3 linked regions of the Mus musculus genome follow. The protein of the gene in region 3 purifies or fractionates together with the protein of the main gene of each other region. This does not show direct contact. Links are inferred from orthologs where the notes say so. Each region holds a gene or a part of one and is shown on either strand. Other genes may lie near its edges.

Region 1 (5,998 bases), on a different chromosome or scaffold from region 3:
GTAATAACAACATTTGCTTCCTTTTCAACCCACCAGTATCTTCCAGATACTATATAAGACATCTGGACCATGGTCAAAATGATGGACAGTCCTAGAAGCATCATCAAAGCGATGTGGCTATTGGTGGAAGGCTGAGAAGTGACTGGGCAGGCACAAAATTAACACTGGGAAAGGATGGTGTTACCTTAGTCAGTTCAAAATGAAGTAAGGGGTAAGGAAATTGCTCAGGGCTGTTTTCAAGAGGGAGGACTTAAGCTCTTCTCTCTCACGTCTATAAAAAGCCAACTGGTACCTATTAGTCCAACATTGGTAGGTGGGGATAGGCAGATCCCAAGATCACTGGCCAGCTAGCCTAGCCAAGACTTCCTCCAGTTCTATGAGACCCTGTCTCAAAGCAGTAACACAGAGAATGATGTCCTGCTCTGGCCTTCCTATAGGTGCATTACACAATCACATGCATGTACCACATATATAATACACACACACACACACACACACACACACACACACACTTCCTCCAGTTCTATGAGACCCTGTCTCAAAGCAGTAACACAGAGAATGATGTCCTGCTCTGGCCTTCCTATAGGTGCATTACACAATCACATGCATGTACCACATATATAATACACACACACACACACACACACACACACACACGCGCGCGCGTAAAAATAGGCAAAACACTAAATAAAAAGACCTTTATAGCCGGGCAGTGGTGGCGCACACCTTTAATCCCAGCACTTGGGAGGCAGAGGCAGGTGGATTTCTGAGTTTGAGGCCAGTCTGGTCTACAGAGTGAGTTCAAAAGAAACTCTTTCAAAACAGTATCTTAGAAATGCCAATTTTTGGCATCCAGAGGGCCTTGAAAGGAATGCAAAAGCTAACTAAGACATAACAAAACTCCATTTTCATTAGTAGGGTTCACCAGGTGTCTCATGTGCTTGCCATGTATTTTGCTACTGTGCTACATCCCCAAACCTGGGCCTATAATACTTTCTAAATCTTCATTTTTATGTATATGGGTGTTTTGTCTGCATATATGCTGTGTTACCATGCAGGTGGCTGTAGAGACGAGAAGAGGACACCAGAGCCCTTGGAAATAGAGGTATAGATGATTGTGAGCCCTTGTTGAGTGCTGAGAATCAAACCCAGTTCCTCTGGAAGAGCTCCCGTGCTCTCAACAGCTGAGCCACTCACCAGCTCCTAGGCTTGTAGTATTCGATTACAAAACTATCTAGTTATATGCTGAAATCCTAAGATTAGCTTTAGCCTCAATGTTAAATATTATTCTAGAGTCATGTTATATCAACGTTTTAAAACCTGAACCCGGCATAATGGCAAATACTGTCCTGGTACTCAGGAGGCTGAGGTACCAGTATTGTTAGTTTAAAGGCACTATAGGCTACATAGCAAGATCCAGTTACAAAAAACAAAACCAACAATGAAAACGTAAACTCAATATGACAAATACTCCCAGAAAAAGTGCTTCAGCAAATGCTTAAGACACTTCCTAAAGAATAGAATGGTTTATAAATTGCAAATGCTACTGTCTCATTCTAAACTACTCACTTACACTGTAAAGTCTGCAAAATGAAATGCAGAGGTATTTCAATTTGCCCATTCTGGTCCAAATGACTAAAAAGTTAACTACCGCTGAGTCTGTAAGCAACATTTTTGAATGTTTAAATGTAAAACATGGGTAATTGATATGCTCTTCAAGAAAGACATCATACTAAACCATTTTCTTTCTAGTTTTAAAATGATTTGATTTCTAAGTACAGATATGAAACACTAGGGACTAAGAAATTCCAGGCTTTGCTAGTCATTTGCTGTGTCTGAACAAAGCACTCTTGGGAGTTATGGGCACAATGCCCCATCAGAAAACATTACCTGACGACGACAACCTACAACGTATCTTGGTCCATTTGTTGCTTTAACGATGACTAGAACAAATTGAAAAACAAAGTTAGAAAACAAATACATCTACATCTATGGTGAGTGTAGTTTTATGTCTGACCACTAAGAACAGTAAATACAAAATTTAGCTTATGTAAACAAAGACCAACTCCTTGTATTGTTGTCATTAGAATACTAGGCACTTCATGGCTATCCTGATGGGTTATTAAATAAAGGCACTTACTCCCAAGCTCATTGATCTTACTCAGGCCAATCTCTGGGTCCCATCTTACATGGCAGAAGCAGAAAAGCAACTCCCACAGTAGTCCTTTGATGCATGCACACACACATGCATACACATATACACATGAGTGCAGGGGACACAGACATAGAGACAGACACACATACATAAATAGATGAATTAAGAATTAGAAGGGCTGGAGAGATGGCTCAGCGGTTAAGAGCACTGACTGCTCTTCCTGAAGGTCTTGAGTTCAAATCCCAGAACCCACATGGTGGCTCACAACCATCTGTAATGAGATCTGACTCCCTTCTCTGTTCCTCTGTTCGCTGTCTGAAGACAGCTAAGTGTACTTACAAAGAACAATACATCTTTAGAGTGTGTGTGTGTATGTATGTATATACACACACACACACACACACATATATATGTATATATGTATGTGTATATGTATATATATGAATGAATTAAAACAGCCTTCCATAATGTCACACATGCCTAAAATTCCAGCACTGGAAAGCAAAAGGCTTGTGAGTTCAAGGCCAGTCTAGTCTACATAGGAAGCTGCATCCAGAGCTACATAGAAGTACCTGGCCTCAAAAATCAAAATAAAATGGGCATTTCAAAAGCTGGCAAAGAACTGGGGCTTTTTATTTTTTAATAATTAGTAAGTTAATCCACTTACATTTTTCTTCTGTTAACTGTTTTAGCACTTCACCTACAATCTGGAAAAGAAAAAAGGGGCATTACCTTTTGCCAATAGCTTAGAAATGGCAACATACTTTCAAACTTTATCACCTACCTGTCCAACACTTTGTAGTGCCTTCAAATCATTTTCAGACTTTTCATACTGCTTGGTAAGTTCTTTTAATTGTTCCCTTACTGAAATAATAAAATTTTGACATTTTAAATTAAACAACTGCATAAAATTTTTTACTTAGGTCTCTTTTACCTTAGGTTTCAAACCTACTGTTTCAAACCACAAAATAAGATTTTTTTTTCCAGTTTGTAGTGGATAGGTGGCATGTTTTAAAATGAAATGTAACAGAGAAAGTATCATATCTATTTTCTTGGTAGGAAATATTTTTAAGTTACATTTTTAACCGATAGTGACATCCTGCCACCTTCAGATTTGCTACAAAACTAAACGATAAGGTGAATCAAGCCTCCCATAGCTACACTAAGATCACCTGGCTTACTCTGGTTGTCCATACTAAATTAAGTCAACCAACGCAATTCTTCACCGAATCCTAGGCTGCGGTATTCTCTCATTTAATTAAATCACGCAGGGTTTTCAAAACGTGAATGTTCAGGGTATACAGAAAACTTGGTACTCAGTATGACGCCTGAGGGAAGACGAGAAAGGCTATTACAACCACTGAGCCCCCTTCTACCCCAAGTACAAGCCGCCTCCGTGAGTCCCGCGTCCGGCTGGAGCTTCTTTGACTCAAGCGTCCTCCCATCCCCGGGTCCCGAGACTCCAAGCCTGCCTTCCTGCACCCGGAATATGTCCCCAGCCCACTTGTACCTCACTCCTCTAATCTTCCCCTCTTCCACCTCAGAACTGTGGCTGTTCTCTATGCCACCGGACTGGGACTGGGGCCATACCCACGGCCGAGGCGGTGCTGCACCCCAGCGCGGGGCGGGATGACAAAGCGCCTCGTCCCTGGACTCGGGCCTTCCCAAGCCAGGCGCTGTTTTCGGGCTCAGCCGAAGCCTCCGCTCTATCAGAGACCGAAGCCGGTCCAGGCACTAGAGAGTGTGTCAAGGCTCACTCACGCTCCTTAAGACGGCCGTCAATCTCCTTGTGCTCTAGCAGCTTCTTGCGATAGTCCTGAAGCGCCTTATCTCTAGGGTCCGCCATGATGAGAAGCCGTCGCTCATAGGGGATGCCGGGAAGGGCCATGGCAGCCCGGGCGGGGGAGGGGGCGGGGCGAGGGCGCAGAGGCGGCCTGGGGCGGGACCGTGACTGGCTCCGCCCCTTCCGGCTGGCCCGCCTCTGGCTCCGGGCGCCGAAGTCAGTCACCTAGAGCGGCAGAAAGCCTCGAAAGCGCAGAAGATCGTCTCCGGTCACACTGTCCCCTGCAGGCCAGAGTGAGCAATGCCTGACTTAGCTACTGGCTGGCTCAATATTAAGTCACTGCTTTCTTAGAACGCCAAAGGATCTGTAATAAACTGAAAAGCAAGAGGAAATGACAAGATTTTTTTTTTTTTGAGACAGTGTCTTGTAATCCACACTGCCTTAGCACTCATTCTGCAGCGCTGGGCTTGAACTCTGGTCCTCCCCCCCCCCACCACCGGCTTCCTAGTGGAATTACAGGCAAACTCGAACATTCAGTATGTGCTGTGTGGAAATCGAATTCAGAGTCTCCGGCATGCTAAGCAAGAGCTTTCCCAACTGAGTCACATTTTCAAATTCAGCCTTTTTCTTTCCCAAATTATTTATTTTTATTTATGTGTTTATGTGTGTGCCTTAGTGTATACCTTAGGAGGGCAAGTGCTCACAGAAGCCAGTAGAGGGCATCGGATTTCTTGGCTCTGGAGTTACAAGCAGCTATGATTTAAAAAAAAAAATCTTATTTATTTTATGCATATAAATATCTTGCCTGCATGTATGTGTGTGCAGCACGTGTGTGCCTGGTGCTGGAGGAGGTCAGAAAAAACCACATGATTCCCCTGAAACTGGAATTATAGACGGTTGTGAGCCTCTATGTGGATACTGGGAACCGAACCCAGATCCTCTCCAAGAGCAACAAGTACGAATACCCTTTGAGCTATCTCTCTAGGCTCAGTGACTGTGTTCTTTTAAATTATTATTGACAGGCTGGGAGTGTACCTTTGGTAGAGTATTTGCCTAGCACACAGAAGCCCTGAGTTTATTAACCCCCAGCACCCTAAAACTGAATGAATGCACTCCACAAACACACAGAGATCTTTAGGAAGAGCCGGAAGCTCACATAACCAGTAAACCACTTTCCAGCCCAAAGATGCAGCCTTTTGATATCAATTGCATGAGCATAAGTAGGAAATTTTCAGTTACCCAATAAAGCACTGACCTGCTTGTAATCAGAATATTAGAAAATATTCTAACATGTAATAAGGAAATTAGAAATGATTTGAATAGGGGCCAGAGAGATGGTTCAGTGGGCAAAGGCGCGCTTGTCATGGAAGCCAGGTGACCTGAATTGGATTCATGGGACCCACTCAAAGTTGGCATGAGGTCCACATGCACAGATGCATAAATGATAATAAATCATAAAAATACCTTAATGTAGTAAATGCTACAATTGAAATAAAAGGATATTGTGGGATAAGGAGGAGAATAAATTTTGAACATGTCTGAGAGCAGAAGGGGCCCCATTATGCCACCACGTGGAGAGCCTTCTGAAGAGATTAAACAGCAAGTGCATGATTCTAAGGTAGCAAAGAGTTTGTCTCACTTCTATCAGAGAAAGGAGGCCAGCAGAACTGGAAGGAAATGGGCTAGAGATGTAGAACACAAGATAAAGTTTCTGCAGCGACCAAGGTAGGAACTTTGAAGTCTGCTAGGACTATCTCAGATCTCTGTGGTGGAGGGGTGGTGATATCTTGATGTCTTCATAAAATCAGCATAATTGTACATATGTAAAAAGGTTGTCATGGGTATTAAATAGACAATATAACTAAAGATGTTAATCCAAAATGTGGCATATGGTAATTGTATTCTTTTAAATTGTTATTCTCATGCTGGGAGTATAACATTGGTAGAATACTTGCCTAACGTACAGCTGAGTTTAACTCCCAGCACCCTAAAAAAAAATGAATATGCTTTACAAATACATGTACAGTTATGTGAATTAATGCCTAAAGTGACAGTCTTCC
Region 2 (6,081 bases), on a different chromosome or scaffold from region 3:
ACTCAAGCTGCACAACCTTTAGGTTTTCTCTGTTTTGAGATGATCTCACTACTAGAAGGGGCTGGCTTCAAGTTCAGTGATCTTCCTGTCTCAGCTTCCTAAGTGCGGGCTTAATGGTGTACACTACCATGACCAGCCACGGTACCTATTAAATACACTCTACTTGGAAATCCAGAGGTTCTGATGCCACCCTTTGCTTCTTCAGACATCTGACAATTCTCACATTAAAAAGGGCCTTTTCAGCAATCTAGCCTCTAGGTGGACAGTTCATCGGGGGCCCTGTGTAGAATTAAAAGGCTCGAGAAGAGGATGCCAGGACACTGGGTGGGAGAAATGGCTGATATTGGGGTAGAAGCAGAGAGAGTCCCCAGGAGGTTGTGAGAGGCTCAAACAGAGAAGAATGGTCTGAAAACTCAGAGGTCCAGGAAATCCTTTCACAGCTCAGATGAGAGGGTCCCAAGGGACCTGGTATAATGACACAGGTTTAGGTCACCACATAGAGAGAGGGTCAAGGTGAAGGTCAGATCAGGAAGAAGGCCAGGACAGAGGAGCTGCAGACAGAGCAAGAACTGAGAAGAATGCTGTGGCTGGAGTCCAGGACCCAGCCAGACATATGGCAGCCTGCTCTGAGCCTCTGATGTCTTCAGCAGATGGATGCCCATAGCATCCACACCTCCCTAGGAGTCAGGTTACAATGTAACCTTAGAAGTCATCAGGGAGCAGGGGCTTGGCCTCTGCTAGTTCTGCTTTCTCAGAGCAAAGCTACCTCCCTGGGTGATCCCCTAAGGAACTGGGAAGGTGGCTGTCTCAGCTCCCTCACCCTGGGCCGCACCTGCAGGAGCTGAGGGTTTTCCTGACCCAGCTGCTGGAGCAGAGCAGGCAGGAGCGCTGGGTTCTGTTGAATCACTTGCCGCATGTTCTGGAACTGAGGCTGGTCCCGCAGGAACTCCAGGGGGTTCTCCCCTGCTGGTGGCAGGAAGAAGTGTGGTCAGAGCCCTCCCTGCAGGGGCTTCGGAATCCAGACTGCAGATGCCCATGAGGACACCATCCAACCTGCTCACCTGCTTCTGTGGCCGGCTGCTCAGGCGCCTGGCTTTCCTGGACAGAACCATGTTCAGGCTCAGGGCTTCCTGGAATTCCCTGTCAGGGATCCTGCTTTTTAGTTCTTTCAAACAGATCCCCTTCCCCTCTCCCAAGTGAGCAGCCTGACAGGACAGGAAGGTCTCATCCCTGCCCTCCACGTTCTCTGTCCAGCCTCTCTGGGAAGACTTCAATGGCAACACTCAATACACAAAAGCCTATGGGGTAGGCTCCACCTCCACTGCCTGTTGAGGCACGGAGACCTGGAGACTCCCAGGAGGCAGTGATGGCCCCCTCACCGTGAGCAAGTACTCCACAGCTCGGTGGGGGTTGTTGTAGCTGGCCCTCAATGCGGCCACAACCCGCTCCCGCTCGTAGCCCATGGACATGATCTCAGTCAGCATCGTCTCATATTCAGAGCCAGTCACTGTGGAGGGAGCAGCAGGGCCGGGGTCACCAGAGGCACAGGAGGACAGCTCCCAGACCCTCCCAGACCCAGACAAGGCTGTCAAAGGCTGATGGCTGGGGCTTCCAGTCGCCTCTGCCCTGAGGACCACCCACCCACCTAATGTGGAAGCTGCGTCTTCCTCTCGCCCGCTGCTACCTGAAGAGGGAACAGAGCTGCAAATTCAAGAGAGAGAAATCGGACCCTGGCTTCTGGTGGCTTGCCCTCCCCGAAAGTGCCTGGGACCACATAGGTGGGTACTGGAAGGCACAGGAAGACAGAGTGGGTACAGGGTAAGCTACTGCCCTTTCCTTACCCAGAAATGGATTCTGGAGATGTTGTGGTGGTTGACTCCTCTGATGGGCTCTTGTCCTCTCTGCTGGTAGGTGGGGGATGAGACATGCCTGATGCCAGGACTGGAGGGAAAGGTGTGGAGGGCTCCGGGACAGCAGTGGGTGAGGCCTCTGGGGGTGCCGGGATACCCTGGCCAGCTTTGGCCTGTGACAACAAGAAACGAGAATCAGGCAAGCAGCATCCCTATCAAGCCTTGCCACCCTGCCCCATCATGGCCCCACCCTGCCTAAGGCTAATCTCTCCTGGGCATACAAGCTCTTTGCCAGCATCCCAGCTAATCTCCCCACCTTGGTCACCATGACAACCACAAAGTTCTTCTCATCTATATGGTATTCCTTGATGGGAACATCGTCACTCAAGATCTTGCCAGCATAGATGAGTTTCTGTCCAGCCACGGGGAAAGCATCTCTACCCTTCTCAGCTTCTATCTTCTCCTTCAGCACCTTTACCTAGAGTAAGGAGTACAGGTATTAAACACAGAAGTTTAATAGTACAGTGTGCGTGCATTTATAAATAGCACTAACACACCAAGACACCCTCAGTGAAATCCAGGCATAGTTGTGCACACTTATAATCCCAGCACTTAGGAGAGACAAGTGGATCTCTTTAAGTTCCAGGCTAGCCAGGACTATATAGTGAGACCATTTCAAATAGAATACAATGACCATCACGAACCCTTAGGTTCCCTTCTTCTTCCCTTTTGTTTAGAGAAAAAGCTTTGCTTTCAATCCTATGAGATTCCTATTCAATCTATCGAGCTGACAGCAGTCTATTACATGCCAGACACGGGAACTGTTCACCGTGTGTGTATATGTGTGTGTGTGTAATGGTAGTGGTGGTTTGGGGACAGACCCCTAGCTCAGGCCTTGTATATTCAAAAGCTCCATCCCCAACCTGTTTTACAACTTGTTTTACAGAGGCCTGTGGAACAGAACAAACACAAGTCAGTGTTCTCATGAAGAAGACACTGATGTGAGAAGAAAAGCAAACTTGTATTTCCAATGGGATGTGGTTAGGAGGGGAAACAGTAATAAGAAAATGAAACGGTGTATCCATCGCTGGCCTCAAACAGTAACTTTTCTGTACTTACTGAGGTCATCTTTCTTCCCTCCATTTTTGGAACAGGATTTTATTCTGTACTCAACTCCAGGCTTGCCTAAAACATCATAGCCCAGGCTGGCCTAGAACTCCAGGTAATCTCTGCTCAGAGATTATGAACATGACTACCAAGCTTAGACTTCACTGAGGGTACACCAATGGCTTCAACCTATGTTTTGAGAAGGTTTAGGGGAGGTGGCCCAAGACAGCAATATCAGTTACTTGGAGGTTAAGTAAAGAAGGTTCACATGAGCCCAGAAGAACAAGACTAGACTCCACTCTCAAAAAGCAAAACCAAACAAAAGTTCATACAGCATGTTTAGGCTGCTGTTATGTGAAATGGAGAAAAAAAAAAATCTTGTCACTGTCATTATTGGCTGTGACCGTGGCAAAGTTCCTTAACTCCGTGGTTGTCAAAAGGGGAAAGTCAGGAGTCCCCAAACGACAACACTGTTTTGCAGACTCAGCAAGATGACACTAATACTCTGGTAAAGAATAAACTGGTAAAGAATAAACGGCCAACAAAGACGGACCACCAAAACTATTAAGATTAAGACCATTTATTATTATCATCATTGTAGTCACCAGTCGGCACCTCGTTGGCACTGAGGGCAAACTGTGCCACCTGAGCAGCTTGCAGGCTGGGAACGCGGAGCCCGCAGCTGACACGGGAGCCAGACCTGGGAACTCCCAGGGACTGGCCCGGGAACAGCGCCCGAGCCGCCGGGGCAGGGCAGGGCCGATCGGGGGGATCCGAGGAGGTCGGGCTGCTGGGGGAGGGCAGGGCCTGGCCACGGCGTCCTCTCCGCCCCTCCCGTTGGATCCCGGCATCCCTGCCCCCACCCACCCCGGCACCCGGTCGCTCCCGCCCCCGGGCTCCGGCCCGCACCGTCTCGTCAGGTTCCATGCGGATCTTGAAGGTCTGCTGCTGCAACGTTTTAAGGGTGATGGTGACGGCCATGGCGGGGCCGGAGCAATGCGGCAGCCCCGGGATCCTCGTACTACATGCAACTCACGCCGCCGCCATCTTAGCGCCCAGCCGCGCCGCGCCAAGCACTTCCGGGGCAAGTGTGCAGCGCCCGCCGATCGTCAGCGCCGGTGACACCCTCCTCGACCTCTAGAGCATGCGCGGCTGCACCTTACCTTAGACATGCGCAATCTTAGCTTTGTGAGCTTTTGCTGTGTGCACCAGCATTCCGCTGTCTTGGTGACATCATTTCTGCTAACAGTGATGTCATTATACCCACAAAATGGCTCCTAAGGACTTTTAAAGTTTTTAAGGTGTTTGTTGTAGATTTCTGCTCCTAAGTTATTTTTCATACATTCTGCCTATTTCAAGTGACCCAATTTGGATCTGGTCAAAATAAAAGGAATCTTAGCAGAGGACTGCCTAGAAGTTACCATCAATCAATGTAGAGGAGGGCAACTATGTGACCCCATTTTCAAGGACCATCTTAATTTTTGGAATAAATTTACACTTCTAGTTCATGAGTTCCCCACATCTTTGTAATCCTGCAATGACCTACCTATTCATCCAAACATTTTCAAGGTTCTTTTATATTAAATATGTAATTCTCCCCTCCATAAATTTTCCTTACTTACACCAACTCTTAAGGTACCTACATTTTTCGTGGGGGGAAGGGGTAGTATTCATGAAGCTTTAGACCACCCTCACATACCAAAAAGTAATGAAAATGTCAGACTCAGGATAGGGCAGTTCATCAGGGTGATTTAAGGGACTCTCAAACAGAACTAACATCACCATCCTCTTAGATGCTTGCTTTGCCCAGTGTTTCTATCCACACCAATGATCAGGCAATTAACCAAGGCCTGCCTCCCTCCCTTCACTTGAGTCTAGACTCCAGAATTGAAAGCTAGATCACAACTTTCTTGTGAAGAACACAGGCTTCCTCCTGCCCATTCTTCAACCTACTACACTAGAGTATAAAAGGCAGCCTTGAGACTCAACAATGAGTCTCTTCTTTTCCTTGTGGTGGGGATGGAACCCAGGCCATGCTAGCTAAGTGTCCAACTGAACTACATAACCCAATCCTGGAATCTATCTTTATCAGCTCAGTCCTAGAACCATGGGCCCTTGGGGAAAGTAGATCACTGTCCCTGAGCTCAGTCAGTCCCTTTGACTATTATCTACCAGCATGCACCCCACTACTGTGAACTTTGCTCAGCTTTCCTAGGTGTCAGTCCAACAGATCCATCCCACTTTTAACCAAGATGGCTAATATTTGAATTCACTAAATTCTAGTCAGTCTGTCAATGAGGTCTGTGCTAGAATCAAAACTTACACGTCTATGAGTTTAGGATCAAGACCTGATGGCTACTCTCCCATTTAGAGACTATGGGATACATATAAATGACATTTCTGAGACTCTGCAAACTCCAGTAGCTGAAACATACGTCACCCGCACCTGAGAAAGGCTGCTTTTAGCTCCTGATGTACATCCTCCCAGAGAAGGAGACACAATAGGGAAGACACAAAACTTAATTTAATAGAAATTTTGTTTGTAGTTCTTACACTCTCAGTGTGAGCTGTGCTAGAACTGGCTGCCCCACAAGTGGCCCAGTCCTGGGGGCAAGGGAGAAAGGGGATGAGAAGAGCCCCATTCTTCCTCAGTGCGGGGGGAGGGAAAACACCACCCCCTTCTCCTGCCCTCCTCTGAGATGCAGGAAGGAGAGCAGATGAAATCTCAAGCCTAGGGCTTCTCCTCTACACCCCTGTTCCTAGAGTTGGAGGGTAGTGACCAAAAGATGGAGAAAGGGAGGGACAGAAGGAAAAGATGTTGATTCAAAAATGAGAAACCAGATGAGGGCTGAAGGAGAATTAAAGACAAACACCAGTAAAAAAAAAAAGGGGGGGGGGTAATGGGGGAGGCAGGGGAACAAAATCAGAATCTACCCCAGATCTGAACCTGCCTGGAAAAAATGAAAAGTTCTTGAGTCTCATAGAGACATTATTGGGAGCAGCCAGCTCTGCGGCAGGGTGTTCAGGCCTCAGTCCAGCCCTGAAGGCAGGTGGTGTGGCCTCTACAGCTCATCCTTGGCTTGGCCAGGGGATTCTTCCTCATCTTCCTCCTTCTCATCTTCTT
Region 3 (5,772 bases):
AAAAAGCTAGTCAGTGAGATCCTGCTTTTAACAATCCTCCCAGTACCCCACCTCATAAAACAACATATTGTTTCTAAAAGACACCGGGATACTATCGTTTCCCATATTTTATCTATTTAAAATAAGCCCAGTCACATTCCCAATATACTGGTGGGGGGGCAGGGGAAATACTAATTAATAATTGGTTAACCTTTGGGGGCAATAATTAGAACATCTAAATGTGCATGTCAAAAATAATTTCCCATAGTACAATCCTGTAAATAAACACTTGTGAGGGGAGCTAACCCTTCTAGATGTGATTCTAGGGCCAAAAGGCAAAATAAAAGAGCTTTCTCCATTTTTTATTATTTTTTTATTTTTTTAGTCATTTTAATGCATTTTTCCCTGTGCACAAGAGAAATAACTGATAGAGCCAAAAGATACACTTTCCTTTATACATAGCAGTTAAAAGTAATGCAAACATCACATGACACTTCCAGTAAAAGTTACATTTCCAATTACAAATCAAAATGCATATGAAGGTCTCTTCATGGGAGAAGCTGAGGAACTCTTAGATAAAAAGCACTTTCCTGGAGTCACTACACTGATCCTTCAGGCTGCACAAAGATTAAGGTCATATACAATCAATCTGCAACTGTTGACACAATGTTACACTGTAAGGTTTCTGTACAATTTAATGTATACTTAGAGAAACCAGGATAAACATTTCTACTATATTTTAACTGAACTTGCCTAGCCAACATTTTCACTGAGAAATTTATCAAATATGCTGTAAGATTCTACAAAATTGTGAGACATACCTAGCTTCAGGAATATTTCTTATATTCTTTCTTATTTTGGTTACACATATTCTGCTCAGAGATTCTACAGTAATACTTCTAGATGTACAATTCCAATTGTGCTTACTGTACTGTGTACAAATAGCAAAAACGATCAATGAATGGTATAAATCTTACAGCATTTGCTAGCAAAAATACATGCCAAAGTCACAATAAGCAATATTTTACCACAAATTAGAGAGCTTCAAATAATTTGCTTCTGTTTTTTTAATATCTTCATTCTACATTAAATTACTATCATAGGCTAATGTTTAAAATGCAAATAAACTGGACATCTGTAGGACAAAACTTGTTCACCCAACTGTGAAGGCTGATACCTGTTTCCAAAAATCACAATAAATGCAGAATAAAGAGAAGTGTTTGCATGCAACACCTTTGAGTGAAACAGTATTGATTCCCACCATTCAAATCAGAGAAGGAAGGAAATCAAAAGAAGAAAAGAAAGGAATGAAGGAAACAAAGAGGGGAGAGGGCAGGCTGGAAGGGAAGGGAGAGGGTGGGGGGAGGAGGAGCAGGGAGGGAGGGAGGGAGGGAGGGAGGGACTCCACCTTAAAATGCATCCTATTAGATTTATAGGTAGACAGATTTAAAAGAATCAAAATAAAAGTAAAGCACAATTTTGTGTGTTTAAAGATTTAAGAGCCATTATCAAAAATAAGATACATTTTTTTTCAAGGTACAGAAACGTAATTAGGATGGCTGAGAGCCCAGCAGCCTCTCAATGGCCGCGTTGATGTCGCCTCCTGTTGCTATTAGGGCCTGCAAGTTTGCTTCGCGGTTTAAGAACCCCATGGCGTTGAGCTGTTCCAGTTGCTGCTGAAATCTCACTTCAGGATTCGGCGGCTGTGGAGGGCTTCCTCCAGTGAGAGCCTGCACCATTTGTTGAATGAACTGCTGGTTGGGTCCAGATTCCGAGGTTGGACTTATGGTTTCAGTAGGTGCAGAGCTGGACACAGTGGTTGCAGGCGGGATGCCAGTGCCGGTGGAGCCGGGGGAGCTTGCAGGGCCAGTGGGTCCTATAGGCCCGATGGGGCCTATGGGGGTGAAAGGAACTATAGGGCCGATGGGCCCTATGGGAGTGACTGGGCCCACAGGGGTTATGGCGGTTCCCAGCACTCCCATCCCCACACCTGGAGCGAAGCTGGGAATGAGGCCAGGTGCTTCAGTGGCTAGAGTCTGTAGCCCCTGCTGGATCTGCATTAGCGCTTGCATCGCTCTCGGGTTTGACATGGCCGCGATGGTTTCTGGATTCTGCATCTGCTGCAGGAAATTCGGGAGCTGTGGACGCATCTGCTCCTGCAGCTGAGGATTCGAAGTGAACAGCGGGCTACTCAGCATCATCTGGGCCGCCATATCTGGATTCTGGCTCAGCGACTGCATCATGCTCCGCATGTAGGGCGCAGACAGCATATTCTGAATCAGCTGGGGATTCTCAGTTATCTGCTGCAGCAGGCTCTGCATTCCTGGGGTGCTGAAGATGCTAGCCACGTAATTAGCTGCAGCCATGGTGTTCCCGGCGGTGGTGCTGCTGGAGCTGCTGCCAGAGCCACTGCCACTGCTTGTGGTCGTGGTGGTGGTGGTGGTCGCAGCCGTCTGGGTTGTTGGCGGTGGTGCCCAAGGATTGGGCAGCGGATCACGATTCTCCGTGCGGGAGGGCTGAGTACCTTCCCCTGAGGTGGAACTGCTCCCCACCGTGGCAAACGGGTTGCCCCCAAACTGCTCCTGTGCGGCATTCAGCATAGGTTCTTGAATGTCAGTGTACATGCGCCGCAGAGCATTGTAGCCACCTGGGATGCTTTCGAGATTACTGAGAGCCAGGTCTTGATTTCGCATCATCTCTTGCATCATGGCAGGATTCCTGGCGATTTCCAGCGTCTGCCTCATTATATCTGGGTTGTTCAGTAGGTGGCTGATTTCTGGGTTTCTCTGGATCAATTGTTGCATCTGTGGATTGGCCATGATGAGCTGCCTCATCAGATCAGGATTCGAAAGCATGCTCTGAACAAAGGGATTTTCCATGATCTGGATCATCATCTCAGGGCTGGCCAGGAGCTGCTGCTGCATCTGGTTCTGAAGCTCGGTGAAGTTGGGCGAGTTCAAGCCCAGGTTACTAAGGCTGGAAAGGCTTCCCAGCCCAAAGGAGCTGCTATTCGTGGTGGTAGGTGTGGAGCTACTCCTGGGAGCCGATGATGTCGTCGCCGCCGGCGCCGCCGCCGTGGTGGTGGTCGTGGTCGTCGTGCTCGTTCCCGCAGTCGTGCTGGGCTGCGTGGTGGCCTGGCCCTGCGGACGGTTCTGGCTTTTGATAACCAGGTGAACAGTCAGTCCATCATGGATGCCATGCTGCATCAAGGTATCTTGATCTTTCAGGATCTTTCCGGCGAAAATCAGCACGAGCTGATCGGTCTGCGATTTGAAGCGTTTGGAAATCGCTTCCTTGAACTGCTGCACGGTGCTGTTCTCGGGCACCGCGAACTCCTCCTTCTCTTTGGGGGTCTTCACAGTGACTTTGATGATTTTGGGCTCGGCCGGCGGGCTGGCCGCGCCTGGGGCCGCCGCAGGGCCGCGGGAGGGGCGCGGGGGGCCGCTGCTCTCGCCGTTCTCAGCCATGGCGGCCGCGGTGACGCAGGCTCACAGGGAAGGCGCTGGCGAGCGAAGAGGGCGCGAGGGAAGGAGGTGCCGCAGCAGCGGACTGGGGCGGCCCGGCGGGCAGCGCGGATCACAGTACCTCAGAGTTGAAGGCTGCGGCTCCTCCCGGTCGTCGGCTGCGCACTCGGCTCGGCGTAGGCCTCGGCTGAGGGCTGAGAGAGCAGGTCCTGCAGGCCGTCTCCGCTGCCGCCGCCTTGTGATCTGCCCGCGCGCACTCCCAGCGACTCCTGCAGCTGCGGCGCCCGCGCTCCCGCCCCGCCCCGCCCCGCCCCGCCCCCGGCCGCGCCCCGCCCCCTGCTGACGCGGCGCCAGCCCAGCGAGCGTCTCGCGGCCGAGCGCAAAACTCCTGCCCTGCAGAGGAGGGGGGGCGGAGGGAGGGAGAGGGAGAGGGAGGGAGAAATAAACAAAGAGAGGGGGGAAGAGAAGGAAAAGGAAGGAGGCTGGAGAGAAAAGCCAGGGGACCAAGGCGAGGCGGGCGAGGCGAGGGGGGAAGGGAGGAGGCCAGGAGGAGGAAGAGGGAGGCAGCTTCTTTAGCAGCCACTGAAAGACCAATGGAGAATGTGGGTTCGCAATCTGGGAGGCAGTGAAAGGATGAAAGCCTGAATTGAACCGATCCCAGGCAAAGGACGAAAAATGAATAGTAAAGAACTCTGACAAAGCAAAAAGGGAGAATGAGCGCCCGGTTGGGGGAAGGGAAGGCATGGCGGGAGCGAGCATTTTACAAAAGAAGCCGAGAAACGGCCAACAGGCTTCTGAAAAGATGAGGCTCGCTCCTAATCAAAGGGATTCAAATAAACACAATGAGATTTTTCCTTCGGGTTTATCATATTGGCAGCGATAAAAAAAAAAAAAAGAACGTTAAACCTTGTTGACCAGGAGCCGAGAAAATGCACTCTCATGCTAGTCGTAGTATGAATTGTTGTAATGGGGCAGTTTGAAAATACAAATGGACATTTTAAGGATTTGCACCTTTGTTTAGAAAGACCTAATAATCAATTCGAAAAGTATATATAAACAACGTGGCATTTTAAAAAATAGCGTTTAGCTAGTTAAATGGGTCTGTGACAGGAATACTATGATTTTGCCATACAATAAAATAATCCCTGTGTCTAAAAGATGGTGGCTAATTCATGTAGTATTACATGTCTCTAAAAAATACATTAAATGCACTGTAGTTAGGAGAAAATAATAGACGATATTTGGGGTTATTTTTTATGGTTTTCTTAACAAATGGAAACAATACATGTGTGTAGGTGTCAGCATCAAAAAGCTTGTAGACTGTATGTGTGAAAAAAATCTGAAAGGCTATACTCCATTATGATAAAGGTAATTATTAGTAAGAGCTGAAATTGTAAATAATTCTTATTTTCTATTTTTATAAGATTGTGAATTTGATGAATAAATATGCATTGCGTTTATGATTTTTAAAAACTACAAATATTATTTTCAGACAAGAGTAAAGGTAAAAATTGACAGGCACACAATAGTCGTGGCAGAAATTAACATAATCATTATGGATTAAATAAAGAAAACAAAAAATGGAGTATTACTGTTATAGAAAACCTGAATTATAGAAGAAATTATTCTGAAATCATTTATTTCTCTTGCTTTGAACACAGAAAATCCTTTTCCCATACAAAAACCTAGAGATGATTTAACAGCATTTCAAAATCATTACGTCACAGTACCTTAATAAATCTCAGTGTAAAACAAAATACAGGGCCATTATACCCATGACTAGTACAAAAATCATTATATATGCAAGAGCTCATATAGATATAATGTACAATGAAAAGTATACTTGCTTTAAATACATATCAAAACATAATTAACTGACACACATCAAATGTAAATATCTATGGTATTTAAAACATATGTACATATGTATATAAAATATTCTATTAGCTAGAAGGGCTGGGCTGCTGCTCACTGATGGAGCACATGCGTACTGTGTGTGAAGAGACCCTGGGTTCAATTCCTAGTACTGAAAGAAAAATTAACAGAAAATAAATGTACAAGAGGCAGTCATTCTAAACATCTAGTCACAAGGAAGAGGAAATGGTACAGGATTCTACACAATGACTAAATGGAACTGGAGTTAAAGCTGTAAAAATGTGCTTTGTCTCTAAACTCGAAGGAAACATGACAGGCTACCAGCAATGGCTGATTTTAGATAGTGACAACTCACCTCTGTTAAAATATGTTTAACTTTTCTGAAAATAAATAGAAATTTAATACTATATCACAAGGAATTGTTAATGACTCTTAAAGGTAAATACTATTAACA

Evidence for each region. Proteins that work in one complex are often made in the same cells at the same time.
Region 1: the proteins of Ubqln2 (region 3) and Psmc6 purify together in Homo sapiens (affinity purification with mass spectrometry, with the first as the bait; 3 studies listed by BioGRID). This does not show direct contact. The link is inferred for Mus musculus from reciprocal best matches to the Homo sapiens genes UBQLN2 and PSMC6.
Region 2: the proteins of Ubqln2 (region 3) and Rad23a purify together in Homo sapiens (affinity purification with mass spectrometry; 3 studies listed by BioGRID and IntAct, with this or other methods). This does not show direct contact. The link is inferred for Mus musculus from reciprocal best matches to the Homo sapiens genes UBQLN2 and RAD23A.

The regions. Positions count from the first base shown.
Region 1 is NC_000080.6:45,327,851-45,333,848, reverse strand, and holds the start of Psmc6 (26S proteasome regulatory subunit 10B), read right to left. Parts: upstream 4,026-5,998; 5' UTR 4,002-4,025; coding exon 3,917-4,001; exon of another isoform or gene 3,746-3,916; intron 3,020-3,745; coding exon 2,940-3,019; intron 2,863-2,939; coding exon 2,823-2,862; intron 1,944-2,822; coding exon 1,891-1,943; intron 1-1,890. UniProt on the Homo sapiens protein: Component of the 26S proteasome, a multiprotein complex involved in the ATP-dependent degradation of ubiquitinated proteins.
Region 2 is NC_000074.6:84,836,628-84,842,708, forward strand, and holds the start of Rad23a (UV excision repair protein RAD23 homolog A), read right to left. Parts: upstream 4,026-6,081; 5' UTR 3,939-4,025; coding exon 3,867-3,938; intron 2,329-3,866; coding exon 2,167-2,328; intron 2,024-2,166; coding exon 1,842-2,023; intron 1,702-1,841; coding exon 1,646-1,701; intron 1,508-1,645; coding exon 1,380-1,507; intron 1,141-1,379; coding exon 1,062-1,140; intron 967-1,061; coding exon 833-966; coding exon of another isoform or gene 752-832; exon of another isoform or gene 1-751. Other genes in the region: Calr (calreticulin precursor), read right to left, coding at 6,020-6,081. UniProt on the Homo sapiens protein: Multiubiquitin chain receptor involved in modulation of proteasomal degradation. Binds to 'Lys-48'-linked polyubiquitin chains in a length-dependent manner and with a lower affinity to 'Lys-63'-linked polyubiquitin chains.
Region 3 is NC_000086.7:153,496,128-153,501,899, reverse strand, and holds Ubqln2 (ubiquilin-2), read right to left. Parts: upstream 3,669-5,772; 5' UTR 3,447-3,668; coding exon 1,530-3,446; 3' UTR 338-1,529; downstream 1-337. UniProt on the Homo sapiens protein: Plays an important role in the regulation of different protein degradation mechanisms and pathways including ubiquitin-proteasome system (UPS), autophagy and the endoplasmic reticulum-associated protein degradation (ERAD) pathway.